Linked DNA regions of Caenorhabditis elegans. The protein of the gene in region 1 purifies or fractionates together with the protein of each later gene. This does not show direct contact. Each region holds a gene or a part of one and is shown in the gene's direction. Other genes may lie near its edges. The genes, in order: T26C12.1 and cox-4.

Region 1 (7,303 bases):
ATTTTAGATTCTAGCTGCGTAAATCGACACTCGATCGGTTTTCTCTCGTATCAGTATTCTTGGCAATCAACACTTTTGCGCAAATTACACGGGTGACAACAATTGACAGCTGCAGAATGAGGACACCATCCCGCCGGGAACAATATCTTTCTCTTCTCTCATCTCTCCGCTCATTTTGAACATTTTTCTTCGTGTGTGTGTGTGTGTGTGTGTATGTATACGTATACGACAAGTCGTATTCCGCGAGATTCGTAGCTGTATTCCTTCGATACACTACATATTTTTGTTCTCTCCGGCAATCTTTTTTTTTCTCGACGAATTATTATGTCATGCTGTCAAGCGTTCAGAAGAGCAAAAATGAAACTCATCAGCTTGTTTTTTGAAAGGTGTATAAAGTGTGTGTGATGCAATTAGAAGGGTATTCAGCAGGTCTTAGACACCTTAGACATAGAGCTATGGAATTTGAAAGAAGACCTTTTATATAGGAGATTCATACAAAAAGTTAGGTTCTAGAGAAGCAATGTGAACTGGAAGCGCATTTTTGAATACTTCTCAGGCCCGTTTCAAGCCACGCGATATCAGATTGTCTCATTTCGGCTTGATCTACGTAGATCTACAAATAAGGCGGGAGCAGAGTTCTCAACTGATTTCACATGGTTAAGAGTTACATTTTTTGGGCAAAAAATTCCCGCATTTTTTTGTAGATCAAACCGTAATGGGACCACGTGTCAAGCTTCTAAGACGAAAAGTTTGATAAAAGAGAAATAAAAAAGTTTGGAAAACTGTGCTAGAATGAGAAAAGTTGCTGAAATGATGAAAAAGCGCGAGGAGCTGGTGATTAGTCATCGATGTATGAAACCAGAATAAAAAATGAAACGATCGCTTTTCTCCCCCCCCCCCCCCCTTCCAGTTCAACCATCATTTTCTCAAAAAAAAAAATTTTCCCTTCCCCCCATTTTTTACGGAATCATCCATTGTTCAATTGACACACCCCTGCCGGGAGACACGAGCGGACCTATTGATACGATGCTCTATTTGACCAGTTGAAATTGGAAAATGTTTGAAACGGGAGAATTTTTTGCGAACAAAAATGTATATATGTTTTTGAACTAAGATTCTTTGGAATACCTGGCACTCATATATTGGGGTGGCAAACTAGATACGTAGGCATAGCGTAGGCACATAGGTAGGCCGCCACGTAGGCACAACTGCAAACGGCAGACATGTAGATAGTCAGGCAGGCATGTAGGCAGGCAGTAGCGACGGCAGACGTATATAGCTACATGCTTACGCCTACCTACTTGCATGTCTTACGGTCTCATGCCTACGTTGTTAGGACATGCCTGCTATCCTTACCTACTTAGGCATCCATGTGCGCACAGTGTAGGCACAAAGTTAGGCAGACATACAGGCGTAGGCATGCGATACGAACGTGGGTAGGCATGTGGGCATGCTGTATTTAAACAGAAATATCGACAGGCGTAGAAAGCTACTCATACCTATTTGCATACTCGTCAAATCATGGCTGCCTACGTGCGTACCTACGCGCCTACCTTAGCTTTTCGTGGCAGTCCATCTCCACTGCTACATCATGCCCTCTTGCCTACCAATGTGCCACGTAGGCAGAAAGGTGTGTAGGCAGGTAAAGAGGCTAGCGACTTTGTGCCTACATAAAACCTGGTTGCCTACCCACGTGCCTATCCGCCTATCTATCTGTAGCAGAGGCTACACCTACCTATTTTCATACAGGTTCGCTGATTCGGACTTTACCCTTCGCCCCTTATCACACCATTCTATCAAAGAATACCTCGGACAACAGAGTCTATTCTTTTTTGATCATGCATCTATATTTTCTCCATTTTTTCTCTTTTTTTTTTCTTATCACCGCCATCGCTCACCCACCAGCATACAACATATCACAAATAAAACACTTGCCGCTTTTGCAAACTTTTTGTTCTTCTACATAATAACTTATTGTTAATTCATATTTCATTTCATTTAATTGATGTTAATATTCAGCCGGGTAAACCATGGTACTATTCCTCATAATCGCTGCCATCATCATTGGCCTTCTTCTCTGGAAATGGCTAGATGTCCGGAGCACCGATGAGCTCACGAGCATGGTGAAGCTTCTTGGCAGCGGAAACGGGCAACATGTGTTGTCAAATGCGTTCCAGGTGAAAATAAAATAAATTTCAGCACAGCCCGTTTTCCAGTAATTTCGTCCAGAAATATGTGAAAATGATTTTTCTAGCAACTTTTGAGTTATCGAGGAAGTCTCTGTTGTGCTTGAGACAGGTGAAGAACCACCTTTGAATTATTAAGATCGCGTAGGACATAAAGCCATGATTTCATTTCGGAGTCTCTGAAAATCACATAAATAGATGTCAAAATTAAATGTTAAACGGTGAAATCTTTTTTTTTTCAGGTGGACGAAAAGTCGAAACGCCACGGAGGGGAGCTCGTGGCTTCTGTGCTCAAGGCTCACGATGTCGAAGAAATCTTTGTGCTCTGTGGAGGTCACATTTCGCCGATTCTTGTCGCCGCCGAGAAGCTCGGAATCAAGATTGTCGATACTAGACATGAGGTACAGGAATTGGCCGAAAAAACGAGAGAGAGAGAAATGAGCGTGCAAAACGCGCTCTATTGAGAAAAATGTGCATTTTGAAATAAAAATGCAATCGCGCTCCAAAGCCACGAGAACGGGGTTCTGTCCTTCCTCATTGAATTTTTCGCGCTCCATTGGCTGCCGGAAAACGCGTGGGGAAGTGTCGTGTACTCCACACGGACAAATACATTTAGTTTTACAACTAAAATCGAGCCGTGACGCGACACGCAACGCGCCGTAAATCTACCCCAGATATGGCCGAGCCAAAATGGCCTAGTTCGCCAAACTCTTCCATTTCAATTTATGAGGGAAGCCACGTGGTGTCAGGATGTCTCTTTGCGATTTGATCTACAAAAAATGCGGGAATTTTTCCCCAGAAAAATTTGACTTCGGCACGCTCTTAACCATGCGAAATCAGTTGAAAAGTCTGCGTCTCTTCTCCGCGCATTTCTCGGAGATCAAACCAAAATGAGGCACTTTGACACCACGTGGGAAGCCAGAAATCCGTGCTCCCACAGTTGGGTCTCGTTAGGTATTAGCGGCAAAACCGTAAATTCAAATGTTTCAATTGGTTTAGCTAATATTTTTCGCCTTAAAAAAATATCGTTGTTTTTAATGATTTTTACGTCGAATTGATATGTAGAAAATTCATGTAAAGTTGATTTGTTTATAAATTTCGGCATAAAAATCAATAAAAACAACGGAAACATGCGAAAATATCTTGTAGCGAAAACTACAGTAGTTCTTTAAATGGCTACTGTAGCGCTTGTGTCGATTTACGAGCTCGATTTTTGAAATGAATAAAAAATAAAAAATTGTTTAAATCAATCGACACCAGTGCTACCGTAGTCATTTAAAGAATTACTGTAGTTTTCGCCTCGAGATATTTTGCGCGTAAAATATGTTGCGCAATACGCCGACTCAGAATTTTGTGTTCACGTAATAGCGAGACCCAACGTTTGGAGGCGGACCGTTTTCAAATAGCCGTGGAGCGCGTTTGCACCTTCATTTCAAAAAAATGCAACAATATTTCCATTTTCCAGGTCACCGCAGTCTTTGCCGCCGACGCAGTCGCTCGTCTTCGTCAATCAATTGGAGTGGCCGCAGTCACCGCTGGACCGGGACTCACCAACACCATCACAGCCGTCAAGAATGCCCAAATGGCCGAGAGCCCATTGTTGCTCATCGGAGGAGCCGCACCAACCCTACTGAAGGGTAGAGGTGCTCTTCAGGACATTGATCAAATGGTCCTCTTCCGTCCACTCTGTAAATATGTGGCCCGTGTCGAACGTCTCCGCGACATTGTTCCAACTGTTCGCGAGGCTATCAAGGCCGCCAAATCCGGATGCCCAGGACCAGTGTTCGTCGAGTTTCCAGTTGATGTTCTCTATCCGTATGAGCTTGTTGTCAAGGAGATTGGCTTCAATCCAAATGCCAAGGGATTCATCCAACGGGCGCTCAACTTCTATCTCCGTTGCCACGTGTCTCGTCAATTCGGAAACGCATGGGCTCCACAGACGATCACTCCACTCCCAACGAACATTCCAATGCCGAAAAGTGAAAAAATCCAGGAAATCGTTCAACTCGTCAAGTCGGCGAAACGCCCGGTTCTTCTCATTGGAAGCCAGGCAACACTGCCTCCAGTTAAGCCGGCTGACCTCGTTAAAGCCGTCGAAGCTCTCGGCTGCCCAGTCTTCCTCGGTGGAATGGCTCGTGGTCTTCTTGGCAAAGATCATCCACTTCAGATGCGTCAAGTGAGAAGAGATGCGCTTAAAGACGCGGACTTGACCATTTTGGCTGGAACAGTTTGCGATTTCCGTTTGAGCTATGGCCGAACTCTGTCGAAGAAGTCGAAAATTGTAGCACTCAATAGAAATTCCAGTCAGCTTACGAAAAACGAGAAGGCTTTCTGGAATTCGGATGTTTCTGTTCAAGCCGACGTGGCGACATCACTGGTCCAAGTGGCCAATGCTCTTGGAGCCAATCACACTACTACGCCTACAGAATGGGTGAAATCGCTGAGAGAAAAGGACGATGAGAAGGAGTCGGCGAATGCAAAGAAAATGGAGCAAAAGCTCACGAATGGCTTCTTGAATCCGCTGAATTTCCTGAGAACTCTCGATCAATCACTTCCCGACGATGCGATCCTTGTGGCCGATGGAGGTGACTTTGTCGGTTCGGCTGCCTACATTGTTCGCCCACGAGGACCACTTCAATGGCTCGATCCTGGAGCATTCGGAACACTTGGAGTCGGTGGAGGTTTTGCTCTTGGAGCCAAGACTGTCTATCCGAAGCGTCCGGTGTACATTATTTGGGGAGACGGATCCTGCGGATATTCGTTGATGGAATATGACACTTTTGCTAGACACAAGTGAGTTTTATAGCTGGAAAAAAACTCGATTTTGTTTAAACTCCCCCCAAAATGAATAACTGTGACCAATCAGCGATTCGCTCCGCCCACTTTCCAACCAATCAGACGAAGTGGTGGGCGGAGTTTGAAGTCGTTTATTGCTCGGAGCTCTTATTTTGGTAGGAATTCGCGTTTTTAAACGATTTTTTTTCCGTTTTTCTGAATTTTTTAAAATCGATTTTTTTTTCCAGATTGCCAGTTATCGGAATTGTTGGAAATGACGCGTGCTGGACACAAATCGCCAGAGAACAAGTGCCAATGTTCCAGAGCTCTGTGGCTGTTGATTTGGCTGTAAGTCTTCGAATTTGCTTTAAAAAATCGAAAAAAAAATCGAAATTTTGAAAATGGAAAAAAATCGATTTTTTCAAAAATTTTCTTTTAAGAATTGAATTTCTTAAAAACTTCGATTGTACGAAAAACACAATTTTTTAAAGAAAATTGAAAAAAAAAATAAATATTTAATTTTTCGAAAAATTCGATCAAAAAAAAATTAAAAATTCGATTTATTTTTAATTGAAAAAAACACAAACCTAAAATTATCAAAAAAAATTTTTTTTGAAAAATTTGAAATTTTTCGAGAAAAAAAACCAATTTTTAATTTTTGAAATCAGAAACTTAAACAAAAAAACGGAAAATATCGATTTTTTAATATTCAAAAATTATTACGAGAACTCAAAATACTGAGATTGCGTATTGCACAACATATGTGACGCGCAAAATATCTCGTAGCGAAAACTACAGTAATTTTTTAAATTACTACTGTAGCGCTGGTGTCGATTTACGGGCTCCATTTTTGAAATTAATTTATTTTCGAATAGCGGCAGCGATATGCCATTTTCTTAATTTTTTTAATTTTCCATCGATAAATGGTATAATTCAAATTTATTGCGCAAATAGAGCCCGTAAATCGACACAAGCGCTACAGTAGTCATTCAAAGAATTACTGTAGTTTTCGCTACGAGATATTTTGCGCGTCAAATATGTTGCACAATACGCATTATCAGAATTTTGTGTTCCCGTATAATAAATGTTTTTGTCATTTCTCTACTGGACAACGAAAATTACAACAAAAAAGTCTTCTCCACGAGGAGTACACGAGCTGCGTAAATCGACAAGTTGATGTTTTTTCAAAGTCAACAAATCTTTTTTTTTTTGGAAATTTTCCAATTTTTTTGGAATTAAAAAAAAATCCCCAAATTTGCAGAGAACTCGCTACGACAACGTCGCCAAATCACTCGGATCCTGGGGAGAGACCATCGATGAATCGAACGCCGATTCGGCTCGAAAGATCCTTGATGAAGCTCTCGCTGTCTGCCGATCAGGAGAACAATCGGCTCTCGTTAATGTGCTCATTGGAAAGACTGATTTCAGAGAGGGATCAATTTCTGTGTAGCTGTGCCGCCGAATTTTTTCTCTTTTTTTTTGCGCTCAATGATCCTCGTTTATGTCCCAAACTCATCATTCCTCCTTTGAAATATGTTTTTTTTTCCGATTTTTCTCTCTTTCTTTTTGTTTTTCATATATAAATGTACGGTTTTCTAGTTTTTTTTACTCAATAAATCTGGTTGCGTTAGCAATTCCAAATATCAGTCTCAGACTTCAACACGAAAAAACGTTTTTCAGCCTAGAAACAAAAAATCATAGCAGCACAATTCAACCTGAATCTGAACACTTGAAATGGGAATCTGAAATTATTTGAATTCAGTTTTTTTTTTCGACTTCGAGGTCCAAAAACTTGCGTTGAGTAATTTTAGCAATGACAAAGGTTTAGTGTCCGAGAGGAGTCCACCATTCGTGGTTGCGTTAGGGCGAGTTTGGATAATCTCATTTTTAAATTTAATATAAACTGTGGAATTATTTTTTTTGTCTTTTATTCGCTGAAATGTAGGAGTTAGCTCATTTTGGCTCAGCCAGGGTAGAATTACGGAAGAAAAAAAAATTATTATTCGATTTTTTCGGAAATTGCTGCCAGGTATTCGTTGCGGTTTGCAATGTGATATTGGAGAGCGGCGACGAAGTTTCGAGTAATATGAAGAGCGTGCTCATCCACTGAAATTTATTGATTTTTTTCAATATAAAATGAGCAAATATGTTAGATTTAAAGCTCCTATAGGTACAGTGTCCCATGTCGGTTTGATCTACGTGTGATCTACTAAAAATGAGGCGGAGTTCTCAACTGATTTCATGGTTAAAAACGTACTGACGTCACTGTGCTTTTGGAAAAAATTCCCGCATTTTTCGTAGATCAAACCGTGATGGGACAGCCTGACACCACTTTCCCATTC
Region 2 (3,341 bases), on another chromosome or scaffold:
AAAAACGAAAGAAAACACGCGGAAAAAAAGCAAGATAAATGGCCGCTGAAACTTGTCGGCCCCTCGGCCATGGCCTAGAAACCACTTTTCCTCGTCCCTCGTGAGGAAAAAGTTGCAGTGTTGGGGTAAAAAACTACGCTGAGCTCGATTTTCAGCTTTTTTGGGGTCTAAAAGCTGCTCTAAAAGCCTAAAAGCCTTAGTTTTAGCTAAAAATCCCAAATATTGTACCTTCAGAGCCCACAACATAATCCATATTCTCAGGATTCCGTCCACATTGCCCAAAATTATTATCACCAATCGCAAAAACGCCCAAATTGGTTCGAATCAGCGAGTGCGCTCTACCGGACGAAATCTCGAGAATTTCGTCGCCGGGAATATTGATTTTCTTTGCGGATATATAATAATCCTGATATTTGTTGATATTCGTCAATTGGCCACCGATCTGGAAGCTAAATTCGTGATTTTTGAGGGTTTTTTGGTATTTTTTACAATTATTAGGGAAAAAAAATCAATAAAAACAGCTGTTTTTTTTTTGATTTTTCGCTGAAAAATCGATTTTTTAGAGCACTTTTTCGTAAAAAAATGGCTTTTTTTTGGCGAAAAACATGAAATTTCTCAAATTTTTCAGAAAAATTGTTTAAAATAGGTAGATTTTTAAATTTTGAGAATTTTCTGTGAGAAATTAGAAAAAAAGGGTTTTGGGAAGAAATTATCGAATTTTCGTTGTTTTTTCTCGGAAAAGTCGGGATTTTTGAGGATTTTCAGTGAAAAACTGCTAAAAATCTGCTTTTTGAAGCTTTTTGGCAACGTTTTATCGATTTTTCGGAAAAATAATGAGAAACCCCCTAATTTTTGTATTTTTATTCAATTTTTCAATGAAAAATCGTATTTTTTCCAATTTTTTTGGGAAAACTCATTTAAAAACGCAATAAAACTGATTTTTTCGATTTTTTTCCAGTTTCTTGAGTTTTTTAATCGATTTTTCAGATTCTTCCGCTCATCTTGACAAATTTAAAGCCCTTTTTCAGAAAAATCCAGCGTTTTTCAGAGTTTTTGGGCCAAAATCGCCAATTTATCGATTTTTCCAGAGAATTTCCTGCGAAAATCCCACCGATTATTAATTCCAGCACCGTAGAGGCGATTTTTCGACGCAAAAAGCGAAAATCCAAAGCCTGAGCTTATAAATTTTTTTATAAAAAGTTTTTCTCAATTTTTCACCCAAAAGATTCAAAAAGCAAGAGCGCTCTATTGGACTCAATTGGCTGCGTACTTGAACGCGTGTAAAACGTTGATTACTCAGTCAACACGATTTACGGAGTGAACAGCCCGCAACGGCGAGCCGTTGTTACATTGCCAATTTATTGATTTTTCTGGAGATTTTGCCAAGTTTTATGCAAAAATTAAAAGGAACCACATATTTCCATCGTTTGTTCGTATTCCGGCTAGTTTAATCCTTAAAACACGAAGAGAGAACGGTTTTTGATTATTAATATATTGCACCCGTGTGTTCTGTTGTTTGTTCGTTTCTGACTAAAACTATCCTCTTCCACGTTTCCATCGGTGTTTTCCGTCGGCCACTTTAGAAATTACTTTAGAAATTCATTTTTATTATGAAAATAGTTCATTTGAGTATGTTTTTTTCATTTCTCCACACTGACGCCGGATTTACCTTTTGTTTTTTGGTTTTTCCTGCATTTTCAACCCATAAACCAGTTATTTATTTCAGGTATGTTGGCTCGTCAAATGATGCTGCCACGTTTGGCTCTCCGCGCAGTGCACACCACCGCCCGTCTGTCCGGAGGACAGGAATTCTACTGGGGACCCGATAAGGCCGCTGGACGCGAGCTCGTCGGATACGGAGCAAATGGAGATAACGTACGCCTTGTTTATTTTATAAATTTTAAATTTAATTAATTTATTTTTCAGATCTACCAAGATCGTCTCGACTACTGGTATCCAGCTATTCGATTCCGCAAGGAGGACAGTGTGATTGCCCCAATTCGCGCCAAGGAGCAAGCCGACTGGAAGAACTTGTCTGCTGAGGAGAAGAAGCTCTGTTAGTATTCAATTTTCCTCGACAAACTTGAAAATGTTGCTAAGTTTTCAGTGTACCGCTACAGCTTCCGTCAAACGCTGTCCGAATTCGAGGCTCCAACCGGATACTGGAAGGTGATCTCCGCCGTTATCCTCTCCGTGCTCGGACTTTGCACCTATTATGCTGTTCTTCTCAACGTCTGCGTGTACCCAGAACTGCCGCCAACCTTCCAGAACGAGTACAAGGAGGCTCAGGTTGAGCGTGCGCTTGTGCTCGAGAAGGGACAATTCCTCGGTGCACCGACACACTACGATTACGAGAACAAGAAGTGGAAGTAAAATATAGAGATTCAGCAGAAATAAAATAAAATTTTTTTGTAGCTTCTTTCTCGTTTTTATAATTCTCTCTTGGTTGTCGTCGCTCCCCCCGCCCCATCACTCTCTCGTCAAACATTCAAGCTTACCTTCTTCTTCATCGCCCCAACCCTCATCTGAAACCTAGATAAGCTGTAAATCTCTCCTAGCGGTCGAACGCACTGACCAATTCTTTCGTCTCCCCCAATTTTTTCTTCAAATTTTCCAAGTGGTTCGGCTTCTTGAGAGATGGGCTGCCCTGTAAACCAGAAATAAATAGATTGAATGTTGCTGTTAAATCCAGGAGGCAATAATTTATTTATTTCTTTACAAAAGTGAAATTTTAGTTTGACACTCGGAGATAGCGGGTAGTAGCGAGGAAAATGGTTCGGGTTGGGGAGAATCTGATTTAAATTGTGACATTTTCAGGATTTTCGTCATTAAGTGATCCGATTTTTGCGATGCGTCCGATTCGTTTCCATCGGTTTCTGGAAGTTGAGCAGTTGAAATTGTGGAAGCACTTTTCGATAGACTGGATGGCTTCCCAACTCGCTTGATCTTCCCGAACAGTGCACCCATCGCAGCCATCGATTTTCTATGAACCGACATTTGAGGGATCTGAAACTTCTAATTCTAGATTTTGAAAATCTCAAGCCACCCAAACCGTAATCTTTGCCACCGGAACAACTGAACCTTCAGCGCCAGTCAGCATATTCCTGCCAACCTGAATCTGCTCAGCGACCGACGAAATATACTCATTGGCTTCTTCCAAGGATTTCAGACGGATTGCAGTATTATTAAATAACCGAACAGTAGATGGCCTCCAAATGAATACACCTTCGAGAGTTTCCAGTCGAGCACATTGTCGATTATTTCCAGATGTTCCTGTTTGAATAGTATTGATATCTTCCAGCGCAACGATTTGCACATCAGTCATCTTTTCTCCATCGATT

What was found.
Region 2: the proteins of T26C12.1 (region 1) and cox-4 fractionate together in Caenorhabditis elegans (co-fractionation; one large-scale study listed by BioGRID). This does not show direct contact.

What each region holds. Positions count from the first base shown.
Region 1 is NC_003282.8:3,256,891-3,264,193, forward strand, and holds T26C12.1 (2-hydroxyacyl-CoA lyase 2), read left to right. Parts: upstream 1-2,019; 5' UTR 2,020-2,030; coding exon 2,031-2,177; intron 2,178-2,428; coding exon 2,429-2,587; intron 2,588-3,651; coding exon 3,652-4,979; intron 4,980-5,209; coding exon 5,210-5,309; intron 5,310-6,222; coding exon 6,223-6,411; 3' UTR 6,412-6,603; downstream 6,604-7,303. Other genes in the region: T26C12.2 (DUF2085 domain-containing protein), read right to left, coding at 6,961-7,067. UniProt on the Caenorhabditis elegans protein: Endoplasmic reticulum 2-OH acyl-CoA lyase involved in the cleavage (C1 removal) reaction in the fatty acid alpha-oxydation in a thiamine pyrophosphate (TPP)-dependent manner.
Region 2 is NC_003279.8:13,657,514-13,660,854, reverse strand, and holds cox-4 (Cytochrome c oxidase subunit 4), read left to right. Parts: upstream 1-1,726; 5' UTR 1,727-1,743; coding exon 1,744-1,875; intron 1,876-1,926; coding exon 1,927-2,056; intron 2,057-2,107; coding exon 2,108-2,373; 3' UTR 2,374-2,684; downstream 2,685-3,341. Other genes in the region: sac-2 (SAC domain-containing protein), read right to left, coding at 2,716-3,006, 3,053-3,341.